Tamandua tetradactyla: one gene and its partner. The protein of the gene in region 1 interacts with the protein of each later gene in a biochemical or structural test. Links are inferred from orthologs where the notes say so. Each region holds a gene or a part of one and is shown on either strand. Other genes may lie near its edges.

What was found.
Region 2: of the proteins of ZAP70 (region 1) and LAT, one has a biochemical effect on the other in vitro, tested with the Homo sapiens proteins (2 studies listed by BioGRID). The link is inferred for Tamandua tetradactyla from reciprocal best matches to the Homo sapiens genes ZAP70 and LAT.

Annotation. Positions count from the first base shown.
Region 1 is NC_135343.1:3,443,749-3,450,996, forward strand, and holds the start of ZAP70 (tyrosine-protein kinase ZAP-70), read left to right. Parts: upstream 1-4,064; 5' UTR 4,065-4,164; intron 4,165-4,341; 5' UTR 4,342-4,431; intron 4,432-7,248. UniProt on the Homo sapiens protein: Tyrosine kinase that plays an essential role in regulation of the adaptive immune response. Regulates motility, adhesion and cytokine expression of mature T-cells, as well as thymocyte development.
Region 2 is NC_135349.1:25,126,135-25,133,874, forward strand, and holds the start of LAT (linker for activation of T-cells family member 1), read left to right. Parts: upstream 1-4,672; 5' UTR 4,673-4,765; coding exon 4,766-4,768; intron 4,769-5,102; coding exon 5,103-5,146; intron 5,147-5,428; coding exon 5,429-5,544; intron 5,545-5,670; coding exon 5,671-5,779; intron 5,780-5,891; coding exon 5,892-5,977; intron 5,978-6,207; coding exon 6,208-6,277; intron 6,278-6,416; coding exon 6,417-6,481; intron 6,482-6,578; coding exon 6,579-6,756; intron 6,757-6,834; coding exon 6,835-6,929; intron 6,930-7,740. Other genes in the region: SPNS1 (protein spinster homolog 1), read left to right, coding at 547-698, 797-863, 1,629-1,774, 2,059-2,214, 2,499-2,688, 3,024-3,089, 3,363-3,461, 3,824-3,995 and 1 more. UniProt on the Homo sapiens protein: Required for TCR (T-cell antigen receptor)- and pre-TCR-mediated signaling, both in mature T-cells and during their development.

The DNA of each region.
Region 1 (7,248 bases):
GCTGTTACTTTTCGCATAGCCGCTGCTTCCCTGGCACTTACTGGGCGCCAAGCATTTCCTGTGGACTTTATCACTTTATCAAGTCTCTGACCCTCCACAGCCTCACAAGCCAGATCCTGCCTCACTCCATCAGCTCACAGCGGGGTGAATCTAGCCAGATGGGAACTTGCCTGCCCAGGGCCCCGAGTCCATGCTCCGAGCCCCGTGCCAGCCACCCTCGCTCAGTGCCAGGCGCAGCCTCCTCCCTCCTGCGGGCCCCGGGCCAGGGGTCAGGAGGGAAGGGGTGGTAGAAACAGACAGCCGAGACCGCACAGAGGGCACTTCAGGAGTGGGGGTGCCACTGCCACACCCAGACATGTGCAGTGTGGGAGAGGAGCCACGCCTGCAGAGCCGGGGACCAGGGCTCCAAGGGGTAAAGGCACCTGAGCCTGACGTTCCAGACACAAACACACACACTCATTCACATGCTCAGAGACACACACAGAGGCACACAGACACAGAAACCCCTAGACCTACACAGACGTGCATGCTCACCCCCACGTGCACACAAGCACACCCAGAAACACACATACTCACACCCCTAGGTTTACATGTGCAGACACACACACTCATTTCCACATTTCCATGCACACCAGGGCGAACACACACAAATTCATACACATCAGACCTACACACACCAGACACAGAGTCACTGAGACAAAGCATTTACCTGCTCGTTACACTCAGACACACCCAAATACACACCTGCTTAGAGACACACAAATCCAGATCACACACAGCACACACACTTGCAGACACGTACACACATGGTAGATACACCCCACACTTACACACCCACACAGTTGCACAGACATACGACACCTGCCCAGATGCTTGCACACACATGTTCAAACCCACAGACTCGTCCTCAGACACCTGCAGACACAGACACACAGGCCGCACACATCCAGTTTCACACAGACATGCATTCAAACCTGCCGGGCAGCTTCCTTACCACACACTGACACACTTACCACCAGACGGCCCAGCGATCATTGGCCCTGCACCTCCATCACACGTGTTCACGCAACGTTGCACCACGCCCAGGGACCACGCCTGCGAGGGGTGAGCACGGCAGTGTAGGGAGGGGGCTTCCTGAGGTGCGCTGCCCGGCTGAGGTGCACTCCGTACCCCTATGGGTAGGAGCCAGGACGCTCCGGGTGGTGGGAGCTGTCAGCTGTTGGAGAGCGTTGTGCCGAGGTGTGCCCTCCCCAGGCTGGGGGCCCTGTGGCTCCAGAGCCCGAGCAGGCCTGCTCAGAGCCTGGCGAATCTTCCCCAGGTGGGGGATCAGGAAGGCTTCCTGGATCCCCCAGGAATCCAGGAAGTAGGAGTGCACAGTTGGAGAGGCAGGAGACGGAGCCCAGGGCGGGACCCCGGGCCCACAGCCTGGTCAGAGTCTCCTCAAGTTCCCTCTGTGTGTGGCTGCATGCATCCCCAAATGCAGCCTGGCTGCTACCTCGCAGCCCTCAGCTCCCCTGATCCGTGGGCCCATGGCCCAACGCTCTGAGCACCTGCTCCCCGGGTGCTTTCAGACGCTGACCTGGGCGGGAAGGGGTCTGGGGCTGCTAAGCCAGGTTTCAGGGAAGACCAGGAGGCCCCTTCTGGGGGTCTACAGCCCCCCAGAGTAGAAGCCCATGCCTGGTATATTTCTTTTGCATGGGCAGGCTCCAGGAATCGAACTTGGGTCTCTGCACAGCAGGCGAGAACCTCTGCCACTGAGCCACGGGGGTACTGCCCCCCGGAATATTTTGCAGCCGGGTTTCCACCTCCTGTGTCCCCCAGTGCATGCGTTTTGGACTCTGGGCCCATCTCCCCATTTGGTGCTTGTTAGATAACCTCTCCTGGCTTCCATGACCTCATGTGGAAAATGGGCCCAGTAATGGGTTGTTTTGATGATTCCAGGTGTTATCAGGCTGAAATGATTAGAACACTGGCGGCCGGGCTCAGACAGACCACTAGTATTTCTCTGTGGCTGGTTTGTGATTTTGAGGCTGCGACTCTCTTCCCAGCAGCCTTCTCTCTTTAACAGACGGGGTAACAGGCGTGGGGAAAAGAGACTTTCTCTAGAAACTGAGTTACACTATGCCTGTGAGGGGAGAGAAGGCTTCCAGCAAAAATGGTTTAGGGGGAACCTATGTAGGAGAAACATATTCCAGCCTGGGGTCCAGAAAAAGACGTCCTGAGTCGGGGGCGGTGATGAGAAACAGCCTTTGGCAAGCAGTAGTTTTATGTCTACATTTCATGGACACAGAGTCCAGAGAGCTTATCCGTTCCTATTTTGGGGCCCTTCTGCACAGCGTTTATTGAAAACACCCCTCCCCAAATCCTTAAGACTAGTCCCATACAACCCCCTTCTCTGCCTGGTCACGGGCGCGGCCTTCAGTGACCCATGTCCTTGGCCTGGCCTAATTCTAACCTCTCAGGCCCCTTATCACAGCATTCACCCTCCGCCACGCACTCCTGTGGGGGCGTCAGGGTTCTCTAGAGAAACAGAACCAGCAGGAGAGATCTGTGAAGATGAGATTTATAAAGGCGTCTCACGCAACCGTAGGAATGGAAGAGTCCAGAATCCGCAGGGCGGGCTGTGAAGCTGGCGGCTCCAATGAAGGGTCTGGATGAACTCCACAAGACAGGCTCGCTGGCTGAAGAGGTAGTGAAAGGGTCTCTCTTCTCCCTTAAATGCCTTCAACTGTTGGATTATGTCGTTGTGGGAGACACACCTTAGTTGATCACAGATGTGATCAGCCACAGATGCAATCAACTGACTGACGACTTAGTACACCAGCTTTCCGGTTTAACAACCAGCATGAAATATCCTCACAGCAACCATCAGGCAAGTGCGTGCCTGGCCAGACACCTGGGCACATCACCTGGCCAAGCTGACACCTGAACCCAACCATCACAGGGGGTTCGTAGAGACTGGGGGGTCCCTGGGAAAGGGGACCTGGGTGGAGCCCAGAAGGGAGCACAGGCCAAGGAGCCCCCACCTCCCGTCCCCCAGAAACCCTACAAGATTGTTCCTGGGGACTCCCTGGGGCCAGGCCCCCCACAGGGTCCCTAAGCCCTGGATGAGAAGCCACTGGGAGAAATCCTCAACTCAAGTGCCCGAGAGAGCTCGTGGGTAAGTGGGTCCCCCAGAGGCTCTGGGGGCACCGGAGGGAGGAAGTGGCCATGGGGTGGAGTGGCTTTAGGACTTTTTCTGCAGGGCCCCATCTGAGGGAGCAGCTGTGAGGTTTGCCTGCCTGGGCAGAAGGTGAGACAGCTGCCACCCTGGGGAGGGGCAGACTGCTGGGTGCCAGGCCAAGAGCTGGGGAGGGTGAGGGAGAGGCGGTGGCCAGAGCAGCCGGTGGCCAGGGGCCAGGAGAGCGTGTGGAAGGTCGCGGGTGGACTGGCTGGGGTTGTCCCTTGTCCCTGTGTTCACTGTGTGGTCAACCCTGCCCTCCCTGACATCCCCAGGCTGGGTCGGGGCTCCTTTGGGCCCCCACCGTCCAGCCCTACTCTTCCTGCTGACCTCGCTCGCTGCCTTCCGCCCCGGCCTGGCGCCCAGCGAGGGCAGGACGGACTGCTGTCGCCCCGAGGCCGGGCACTTGGCAGAGGCTCCGGAGGCTTGGGGCCCCCACCTCCCCAATGGATCTCCTCCATCCAGCTTTAGCTTGCTGGTGGGACAAATCAATCGCCCTTGTGGGGTGGTTCGTCAAGAGGCTGGCCCCAGGCCCCTGTTCCTTTCCACTCCCTTTGGGAGAGGAAAGAGGGGGCATCCTGGTTTCCCAGGTGTCCTGGGGTCCCCTCCCCGTCACCCCCACCCCCATTCTGCACACGCGGTCCCCCCCAGGTTGGGGCCTGCTGTTGGGTCACCATCCTTTCCACCTAACCCCTGCCCAAGGCTGCCCAACGTCCCCCCAGGCCAGGCAGGCCCTGCTGGGCCCCGGAAACGCCCCCTGCCATCCCTGGCCCACGTGGCCTGTGATTTTCCTTGAACGCAGCACTTTGTGACTTTGACGTAAACTTCAAAGGCGGCCCCCTTTCCTGCCTTCGCATCAAGGAAATACGTTGAGTTTCAGAGAAACCCGCTGCCAAGAGCGCAGCAGGCCTCCCGCCTGGGCCTTCTCTGCCGGCCGCGTCCAGGTGAGTGGCCCTCGCTGGCCTGCTATCACCGCCAGCCCAGGGCTCTCCGCCCCGAGGGAGAAACCCTGGAGGGTGGGACCTCCTTGCACCACGACTGGGTACAAGGGGCTGGCGAGCAGGCTGGGGTTCTGCGGCTGGGCAGGGCCAGGAGAGACCCAGCGTGGCTTTTTGGGTCAGGTCTTCATCCAGATCCACTGTCTGTCGGCCTCGGGAAGCCGCGCTCCCTCGGGACCTGTTGGCTGCGACATCCACCTGCACATCTCCCAGGTAAGCCCCGATGCAGCAGCACTGGGCCGTACCTCTGGGGCCATGGAAGGGGCCACCCGGGAGAGCCGGCTGGGCTGAGAGCCATGGCCAGTGTCCGGCGGCGGAAGGAAGCAGGTGCTGCTTGTGGCCTCCTGGGGGGAAGCAGCTCTGGTCAGAGGGTCCGCCGAGTGGCAGCCCGGGGCACCCAGAGGCCTCTCGCTCCACGTAGAGAAACCTCCAGAGAAAGCAAATGTGCACCCTGGCCTCCAGACCCTGCTAATTTGAGGGCAGCTCAACGGGCCTGTGACTCTGAAAAATAAAATGCCGAGGCTTTCCGTGAGGTGGCTGAGACCCGTGTAGATGAGGCAGGCTGGAGACAGACCCAGAGAGGAGGAGCCGAATGCTCGAGTCCTGCTCAACTGCTGTGCATCCTTGGCATGCTGCTTGTCCTCTCTGAGCCTCAGTTTGCATGTGAGTAAGTGCAACGGCACCTACAAGGTGTGCACCTGCCAAGTGTGCAGCTCCGTGGGCGAGAGCTGGGAAAAGTACCCCAGGCAGGAAAGAGTCTGAGCTAGTAGGAACAGGGTCCGTGTGGTGGGCAGCAGGAGATGGACTTCGTCGCCCTCTCCCTGGCCCAGGCAGCGGGCAGAACCCTAAGTGCCTAATAAAGCTTTGCTGAGAGGTCAGGGCCAGGGACGCCCAGAGTGCCGTGTCCTTGGGTGGCCTGCGAAGGCTCTTCTGCCCAAGTCAGAGCTGCTTCTCCCTTTCCTCGCCTTGTGACGGGGGCAGGGGGCAGCCTGCGGGTCCGCTCTGGGGCCAGGCTGCCTGCTGCCCGCCCAGGCTCTGCCACTCGTCAGCTGGTGACTGACCAGGTCACTCACCCCTCTCTGCTGCCTCTGCAAATGGGTGGGGTGGTAACCCTGCCCCCATCTAGACAGCAGGTGCCCCGTGAGCCTATCGCCTTGAGCAGCTCTAACCTCCAGCTCTAGGCTAGTCTCGGGTCTGGACCCCAGGGCCCCCTGACACCCACTCTCCCGGGTGGCAGCCACCCAGCCCCTCCCTACCTTGCCCCAAAGCACAGGGCCTTCCCGCCGCCCAGGACGGTGCTGATGCCTGGAGCCAGCATCCCGTGGTGGAGGCCGGGGGGCTGCCCAGCACCCACGCTGCCCCCAGCCTCTATCAGACCCCATCCCCACCTCCTCACTCCCTCCCCAGCTCCTCCCGTCTCATTTCACGGGCCGGGCACACAGCCTAAGAGCTCTGGCCGCACAGGGGCGAAGGGGCGCATTGGTGAGTCCATCATCAGATACTTAGTGGGTGCAGACTGGATGTGGGTGCCGGCCACCAGCGCAGCCGCCTGGGCCTGGACTCACAGGGTGGTGACCCCGGGGCTGTGGCACCCCCGGGGACCCTCTCAGAGCCGTGGACTCTGCTTCCCACAGTCTCATACCTTCACTGGGGGACATAGCTGCCCAGAAAGGCCCGAGTTCAAACCCCGACTGTACCTCTTGTGAGCCTGACGTTAACCTCTCTGAGCCTTGCTTTTCCTTGCTAAGCAATGGGACGAGTCTCCACTGAGTGGAGTTAGGTTAGATGGCTGAGGACAGTCCCTGACACAGACACTGTGGCCTTCTGACATTATTGGAGGGAGGAGGGGCTGCAGTAGGAGAGGCAGCTGTGGGCTCTGGCTGGGGAGTTCCATGGTCAGGTGGTCACATGTGGCTGTGTGGGGCTGTGACATGGGAGGACAGAGCCCTGGGAGCCCAGGGGGTCCCTGACTCAGCCTGGGGGCAAGGGGTGGGGGGGATGGGCGCTGTCTGGACGGAGGGAGGGGCACCTGCGCAGTCTCCTCTGGACTGGCCTCTCCTCCCGCTCGGTGTCCACGGTGGAAGCCTCTGGTCTACCCTTCACCCCTCTGTCCTCAGGGGCCCCCTTTATCCCTCGCCAGACTGCCCGGGCCCTGAGGATCCCCAGAGATGCCCACTGCTGTGGGCTGCATACCTTCCGGCCTCGGGACCCCCAGCCCAGGGTAGAACATGCACTGAGGTCACTGCCCCCGGCTCCAGGCCCCCACCATGCTCAGGACTTTACTTTCTGTATTAAACAGTCGACTCAGTAAACACCTGCTGGGCACCTGCTGTGTGCCTTGCTGGTGTAGGCAGGGGAACAAGAAGTCCCCACTCTCACTGCGCTTGTGTTCCAGCAGGGGCAAAGGATAGAAATCAGCAGGCCAAGGCAGGCAGCACGTTTCAGTTGCTTAAGAAAAATAAGGCTGGGTTGAGGATAAAGAGGGAAGGGAGCACTATTTTAGAGAGGGAGGTCAGGGAAGTCCCCCTGGAGGAGGTGACATTCAAGCAGAGACCTGAATGAAGTGAGGGAGTGTAGGGGGAGCGTGTCCAAGCAGAGCGAACAGCAGCACAGAGGTCCTGAGGGCGGCCCAGGCCTAACTCGTTCAAGCTGCTTGACAAGTGCCACAAGGAGGCCCGCCTGGCTGGAGCGGAGGGTGCCGGGCAGGGAGGTGATGGGCATGAGGCTTTCACCCCAGGGAGGGGAGCCCTGGGGGGCTTGGGCAGAGGCGGAGACCCAGGGCTCGGTGCTTGGAGCCTCGTCTCCCGGACTCCACCCGACCACCCAGGGCAGGCGCCCTTGCTGCTCCGACATGCGTATGAGGTCCAGGCAGCGTCATCCACTGGCTCGGGTCACTCAGTGCTGTGGGGTAGAGCCACGAGGCATGGCTGTGCCCCTGGTGTCAGGAGGAGCCCCTAAAGGTACCTACCGCCCCTGCCCAGGGTGACAACTCCTGTCATTGGCACTTAAAAGGTGACTTAGTTTCCTGTG
Region 2 (7,740 bases), on another chromosome or scaffold:
TCTTGTGACACCACACTCCTCCGGTTCTCCTCTTGTCTGCCTGGCTGTTGCTTCTCTGTCCTCTGACGTTTCTCCTTTTTGTTCCCGTTCTCTGCCCCAGAACTCCATCTTCAGCCCTGGGCACTATGTACTTTCCTTGGGTGATCGTAATCTGTCCTTAGTTTCAGGTGTCTCTGGTGGACAACCCCCTGCCTCAGATCATTTACTGTGGGGTGTCTTGGGTGGGATGGGATGGAAACTAAGATGTATTTTACACCTACTGGATGCAAGGTGATGAATGGACCTCTTATTATCCAACCCTCACAAGAGCTCTGTGAGCAAACTACCCTCCTTTTGCAGATGAGAAAACTGAGCTCAGAGAGGTTAAGTTATTTTCCAGAGACACAGCTAGTCATGGTGGAGCCAGGATTCAAGCTCAGGGTTGTCTGTTACTAAAACTCCGGCTTCTCCTACCATCCCCGCCACCTCTCCAGAGCTGGCTGGCAAGGTAGGCTGGGAGGCCGGTTACAGGGTGGGGTGCCACCTTCCCCATGTCTTGTTCCCCAGCGTTTCTGGCTGCTCCTCCTGACCCGGGGCCTGGTGGGGGTTGGGGAGGCCAGTTACTCTACCATCGCACCCACTCTCATCGCCGACCTCTTCGTGGCAGACCAGCGGAGTCGGATGCTCAGTGTGTTCTACTTTGCCATCCCAGTGGGCAGGTGAGTGGGCCTGGGCCCTGGCGGGGAGGCACATGGACCTGAAGTTGGGGACCTGGCTGAGCAGCTGTCCTCTTTCCTCTCCTGCCTTCTCCACCCAGTGGCCTGGGCTACATCGCAGGCTCCAAAGTAAAGGATGTGGCTGGGGACTGGCACTGGGCTCTGAGGGTAAGTCTGGTCATGGTCTGGGGAAAAGTCAACAATATTCTTCACTGATCCCCCTTTCCTGTCTTCAGACACCTCCTTTTTGAGGCAGCATTCATTGCTGAGTGTACAAAACCTCCCTGCCCTCATGAAGCCATGTGCGAGACAGAGGTCTTGGCTGTAGGTGACAGAAGCCCATGTAGAACTGTAAACCTATAAAAGGGACTGTATTGGCTCTCATAATGGGAAGTCCCAGGGTGAGTGTCAGGTAAAGCTGGGTCCAGGACTCCTACAGTGTCGCAGAAATTTAATCATCTTTTTCTCAGCTTTAATTTCTTCTGTTAATTTTATTCTCAAGCAAGGAAAACCTCCCAACTTATCATCCCCATGTAGAGACCTTTGCACTGTGGAACCTTGATCAATAGTCCCACATTGCTGTCTGATTACATGATCATGGGTCACATACCTGTCACTGAACCCATCACCAAGGCAGAGAGTTGGGGGTCTTTTATTAGCCAGGACTTGATTGTATGCCCAGCTCTATTTGAATCATGTGGCTTGAGAGAAGGGGTGGGTGGCTTCCCAGGAGAAAATTAGGGTGGCATTACCAAGGAGAGAACAAAAGTAAAGTCTGCAAAATGGGTGACAGCCCCTCCAAATTACAGGCTCAGCTTCGTTGAGCAGGCATATATCTGCATCTTTGAGATCTTGGGGCCCCAGTTGCATATAAACATCCCCACTTTCCCCCAAGGTCAGGTCAAGGGTTCCTGAAGCCCGCTCTTTCCCCAGGTGACCCCAGGTCTGGGAATCGTGGCTGTCCTGCTGCTGTTCCTGGTAGTCCGGGAGCCGCCACGGGGTGCTGTGGAGCGCCACTCAGACTCGCCACCCTTGCACCCCACCTCGTGGTGGGCGGATCTGAGGGCTCTGGCCAGAAAGTGAGTACAGTCCCATCCTGGGCCAACATCCAAAGGCCCCAGAGGGACCTTGAACATCTGGTTTGAGATTTGAGTGGGCGTGGGCTTTCCTTTCTGCTGGCCCTCAAACCCTAAGGTTGGCAATTTGGTCACTACTGCCCCTTGTGGCAGCGGCTTGAATTACAGGCCTAGGTGCAGGGAGCCAGGCCAGCCTTCCTCTCAAAATCAAACCAGGAGGGGAGAACAAAGATCCCCCTCTCCAGACCCTTGGGTGGAGTCTAACCTTTTACCTCCCACCTGTTCAGTCCTAGTTTTGTCCTGTCTTCCCTCGGCTTCACTGCTGTGGCCTTTGTCACGGGCTCTTTGGCTCTCTGGGCTCCTGCATTCCTGCTACGCTCCCGTGTGGTCCTGGGGGAGACCCCACCTTGCCTTCCTGGAGACTCCTGCTCCTCCTCTGACAGGTACCCAGGTGGGGCCAGGGAGGGTGGTCTGCAGGAGAAGGAGGGTGGCATGAAGAGACCCTACGAGTCACATCCAGGCAAGGAGACTGAGTCCCAACTCCATAAGGCCTCTTCCAGCATCTCAGTGCCCCTCGGGGCTCTGGGCTGTTGGGGCCTGAGCCTGGATAGACTTGAGCTGTGAGGGTGGCTGGGAGGGGTCACTTTCCATCCCAGGCCATAGGGGCGAGGGCTGGGGTCTTTGCAGGCAGAGGGATGAGCCCCCTGCCCTCCCCCTGACCCCCTAGCCTTATCTTTGGGCTCATCACCTGTGTGACCGGGGTCCTGGGTGTGGGCTTGGGAGTGGAGATCAGCCGCCGCCTCCGCCGCTCCAATGCCCGAGCCGACCCACTCGTCTGTGCCGCCGGCCTCCTGGGCTCCGCACCCTTCCTGTTCCTGGCCCTCGCCTGTGCCCGTGGTAGCATCATGGCCACCTATGTGAGTAGCCAGCAGGTGTCGGGGGGTGGGGTTCTGGGTTCAGGGTAGAGGAAAGGTACACTGAGCAGGACTGGGTCAATCAGTATCGCGGGTAAGAGCAGCTCTGGAGTGAGAGTGCCTGGTTCTGAATCACAGCTTTGCCCTTTCCTAGCTGTGTGATATTGGACAAGTGACTTAACCTCTCTGTGTTCATTTTCCTCATCTGTAAAATGCAAATAATAGCCTATCCCAGTAGGAGGATTGTAAAGATTAAATGAATTACCAGATGAGCCTAGGGGGATGGTAGATCCTCCATGTGCTTGCTCTTATTGTGATGACTCCTCCCTTGGCCCCAGATTTTCATCTTTATTGGAGAGACACTACTATCCATGAACTGGGCCATCGTGGCTGACATTCTGCTGGTGAGTGGCTGGGCAGCTCCAGGGTTAGCCCAAAGGCTGGTGGGAGCAGGGCTTGGGGTCCGGAGGTCTTTGCTTGGCTTCATCCCTTCTTTACAACCCACCCCCAGACTGATTTCAGAGTGCAGCACGCGGTAGGCCTATAATCCTGGCCCTACCCTGTGACCCCAGTCTGACCGCAGCCTAGGCTGAGCCGTGACCCTGTCCTCATCCTCTTCCTCTTGCTCCCCACCGGGAGAGCATCCCCACTGAGCCCTCATCTCTCCCACCCCGCAGTACGTGGTGATCCCCACGCGGCGCTCCACTGCCGAGGCCTTCCAGATTGTCCTGTCCCATCTGCTGGGTGACGCTGGGAGCCCCTACCTCATCGGGGTGGTGAGCGCTGCCCCCTGGCCGGGCTTGTGGTAGGAGATGGGGGCCCCTGTACTTCCAGCGGCCAGTGGTCAGAGCCTGGGTCCCAGGGGAAGGTCTGGCCCAGCTGGGTATCCATGTCCTCGGTGCCAGGCACGCCTCACCTGGGTGGCTCAGCTAGACCGGGAAGTTCGTTCTTGGATGCTCTCCCCCTGGAGGCCGTGGACCTTACCTGGCGGTCCAAACCTCCCCTCCTTTCATGGCCTCCATTTTCCTTCTTTATCAGGAGTCAGGGGCTCCCTGTCCTGGGTTCCTCTCCAGGTCTCTCTGACTCTCTCTCTGCTGAACTTCCTCTCCTCTCCTGGCTCACCATCCTCTCTCCATAGATCTCCGACCGCCTCCGCCGGAGCTGGCCCCCCTCCTTCCTGTCCGAGTTCCGGGCCTTGCAGTTCTCGCTCATGCTCTGCGCCTTTGTTGGGGCGCTGGGCGGCGCGGCCTTCCTGGGCACTGCCATCTTCATTGAGGGGGACCGCCGGCAGGCCCAGCTGCATGCGCAGGGTCAGTTGGGGCTTCCCTCGGTCTGTCCATAGCTACCCATCTAACCTCCCCATACTGCCTGTGTGTCCGTCCAGCTGTCTGCCCAGTCTGTGTATTTGGCATCCCTGGGTCTACATCTCTCCCTCGTCCAGCTCCAGGTCCTTCTGTGTTACACTCTGGGGGCTCCCCACTGCTGCCTTGTCCATTTCCTATCACTTGTTTGTCCCCTCTCTGGCTTTGTGTTTGTCCGTCCAGCCCTGGCTCTGTCCCTCCCACCCCCAGGTCTGCTGTGCGAGGCGGGGTCTGCAGATGACCGTATCGTGGTGCCCCAGCGAGGCCGCTGCACCCGGGTCCCAGTGTCCAGCATGCTCATCTGAAGGGCTGCTGCTCCTCTGTCTGCATACCTGCCGTACCTGGTCCCCAGCCAGGAGGTGCCCAGGCCCAGACCTTCGGCTGGGCCCAGCTCCCAGGAGGGCTCTGGGCCCCGCTCCAGCTCCCGGACTTGTCGGGCAGCGTAGGGGGCTGGGGGGCGGCGGGGCTTCCGGGAGGGGTCTCCCTCTGCTAGGGTAGCCCCAGGGGCTTGGTGCTATTTGTAATGGAATAAAATTTGTAGCCAGACCCTGCGTTTCTGCTTGACTCTTTCTCTGGGTGCGAGTGACCTCTGACCTCTGGACCACAGGGGATGCCCCTTCCCCATCGTCAGGACTCCCTGAAGGCCGGTGGGGTTACTGCGGTGGGGCTGTGGGCAAGCCCGAGGGTGGACTGCTGTCCGAGTGAGCTGGCTCAGTGTGATGGTGAGTCACGTACATGGTTCCCCCTCGCGCCCGCCCCTCTGGGCAGGCAGGCCAGGGGGGAGGTGGGCTGGGCCCTGCCCTCCGTGCCTGCAAATTCCCAGCGTCAGCTCCTCTCTCCTGCTGTCTCCTCCGGGCCAGGGTGGCCCACAAGGGCCTTGCCCCTCAGCCTGGGGACCAGCCGACCCTCCTCAAGGGCCTGGGGGTGGCTCCTCAACCTTCCTCCTCTCCACTCCCTGCCGGCTGGGTGGGGGTGGGGAGGGGGCGGGTGCAGCCTGCTGAGGAGCCCGATGATTTCCTGCCCTCACCCGGCGCTCACCACAGCTTCCTGCCGCAGGCGGGTGGGCGCCAAGGAGAGGCGGGTGCTGAGCCAAGGGGCAGGTACGGCTGGGGCGCAGGGACCACGCAGTGGGTGGCTGGTGCCTATGCCTTCAGTCTGGGCCCTGGCCTAACCTGCCCGGGGCCCAGAGCTGGTGCTGAGCCCCACACAGCCCCAGCGGGGGAGGGGACCCAGGGAACCCCCAAGGAGGGCACAGCAGCCCCCCTCCCCCGGCCCCCCGGCCTGGCACCCACTGGTCTTGGCACCCCTGCCCGGCCTGCTCCTCACCCTGCTGCAGCTCTGCCCTGAGGGGCCTGCAGGGGTGCAAGCGGGCCTGGCCCCAGGTCTCTCCTGCAGATGGAGGCGGCCATCCTGGTCCCCACCGTGCTGGGCCTCCTGCTGCTGCCCGTCCTGGCCGTGTTGCTGATGGCTCTGTGTCTGCACTGCCGTGAGCTGCCAAGTGAGTGGGGAGCCGGGGCGGGGGGCGGAGGATGGGGTGCTCGGACACACAGACGGGGAGCCTCACCCCATTTCTCAGCCCCTAACTCCCTCTTTTATCCTGTCCCCACCTCTGTCCCACACCCAGAGACTGAGGGCCGTCCTGGACTCTGGAGGCCTTTCCCCTCAGCACCCCCTTTTCCTGCCTCACCAGCCCTCTCTCCCCCAGGTTCCTACGACAGTGCTTCCTCAGATAGGTGAGTGCTCCTGCTCGGCCCCTGCTCGGTGCATCTCCCTCCATACCCCGGGGCTGGGCTGGGCCGGGCCAGGGCCCACCGCTCCGTTCCTCAGCTGTTTCTCTCCTGCCAGTTTGTGCCCGAGCAGAATTGTGGAGAAACGGACTCGTGAGTACACGGAGGCTCCCTCCGTCGAGTGGCGGGAGAGGGCCCTGGCGGGTGAGCAAGCGTGCGCCTTTGTCCAGGTTTCTTCCTGGCCACCCACCGGGAGCTGTGCCTCTGGCCGGGACTTGAGTTGGGGATGGGGTGGGAGGTGGGTGTCTTTGGGCCTGTCCAGAGCCCAGGGGGTTGGGGGTAAACGTGGAGAGCAGCGTCCGTCTGCCCTTGGACTACAAGAGTAGGGGCAGATGCCTCGGAGTCATTCCTTCAGCTTGATTTTCTGTCCTCAGACACACTTGCCCCCTGGCTGCCCGTCACTTCCTACCCACCCTTGAGCCAGCCAGACCTGCTGTCCTTCCCGTGAGTAGTCCCTCAATCCCCTGTCCTCCAAATCCTGTTCTCACCTTGAATTGGGGGGCTCTTTCCCTGTTGTGACCCTCCGTGCACTTGGAGCCCTGAAGTCCTTTCCCAGGCATGACCTCTGACCTTTGGCTCCCAGGAGATCTCCACAGCCCCCTGGGGGCTCCCACCAGATGTCATCTTCCCAGCAGGACACCAACAGTGGTAAATGCAGAGGGAGGCTGGGGACTGGGGCTGAGCAGAGGCTGGGCCTGGCCCGAGCTGACTCTCTCTCTCTCTCCCTCTTTCTCTCTCTCGGAAGCCAACAGTGTGGCGAGTTACGAGAACGAGGGTGCGTCTGGGACCCTGGAAGTCCTGGCTGGGGTGGGGAGGCTGGGGCCACACCTGGAGTTGCTGACCCCTGTGTTCCCCCTAGAGCTGGCCTGTGAGGATGCTGACGAAGACGATGATGAGGAGGATTATCACAACGAGGGCTACTTGTGAGTGGCTGGCAGGGGGGAAACGTGGGGGCCGAGGTGCTGCCGCCCTCACTGACCTACCTCTTGCCTCGCCCTCAGGGAGGTGCTCCCCGACAGCGCCCCGGCCCCCAGCGCCGCCATCCCACCGGCTCCTGTGCCCAGCAACCCTGGCCTCCGAGACAGTGCCTACTCTAGTGAGTCAGGGACATCTGAGCACCTTCCAACTCCCCCTGCCCCTGCTTTTGCCTCTCGTGTTACCTCTTTGATGATTTCTATCCCGCAATTTCCTCTGTTTTCTTTCTAGAACTCCTATCCTCCAGATATTGAACTCCTGTTCTGATCGTCTGATTTTCTTAGCTCTCTTCTCCTCTTTTCTGTCTCTGTGTCTTTTTATCTGATTGTCGGGAAGATTTCTTGGACTCACTTCTTCCCACCCTTCTATTGAAATTTTGCTTCTCCTTGGTCTCTGAATGTTCCTTTTTTAGCACCTCCTGTTCTTGTTTCATGGAGGCAGCAGTGTCTTCTAAATCTTGAAGGATACCCATACCGGGATTTGGTGGGGGACTTTTCTTTGGTTTCCTGTATTGTCTCGGTTTGCTTCAAGCTGCTCTTCTCCCTCTGTTTTGGCCTCAGCCTAGCTGTTGGAGATGTCCTCAAAGCTGGGGGTGTTCAATTTTCTATAACTCCCCTTTCTCTATTTGCCCTGCACCATCACAGCCACACCCTGGCTTCATTTGCCATCTTGATTCTCAACTTGCCACCTCTCTCCTGAGCTCCAGCCTATCTGACCAGGTGGTTCTTTTCATCCATCCATCCATCCATCCATCCATCCATCCATCCATCCATCCAACAGATATCTTCTGGGTGCCTCCACTGGGCTGAGGCTAGGGATACAACCGTTAATGAGGTAAACTCTATTGGTAATAACAGCCAGCATCTTTTTGAGGACCTAATAGGTACCTTACAAAGAGTTTATATGTGCTAATTTATTAAATCTCACAATTC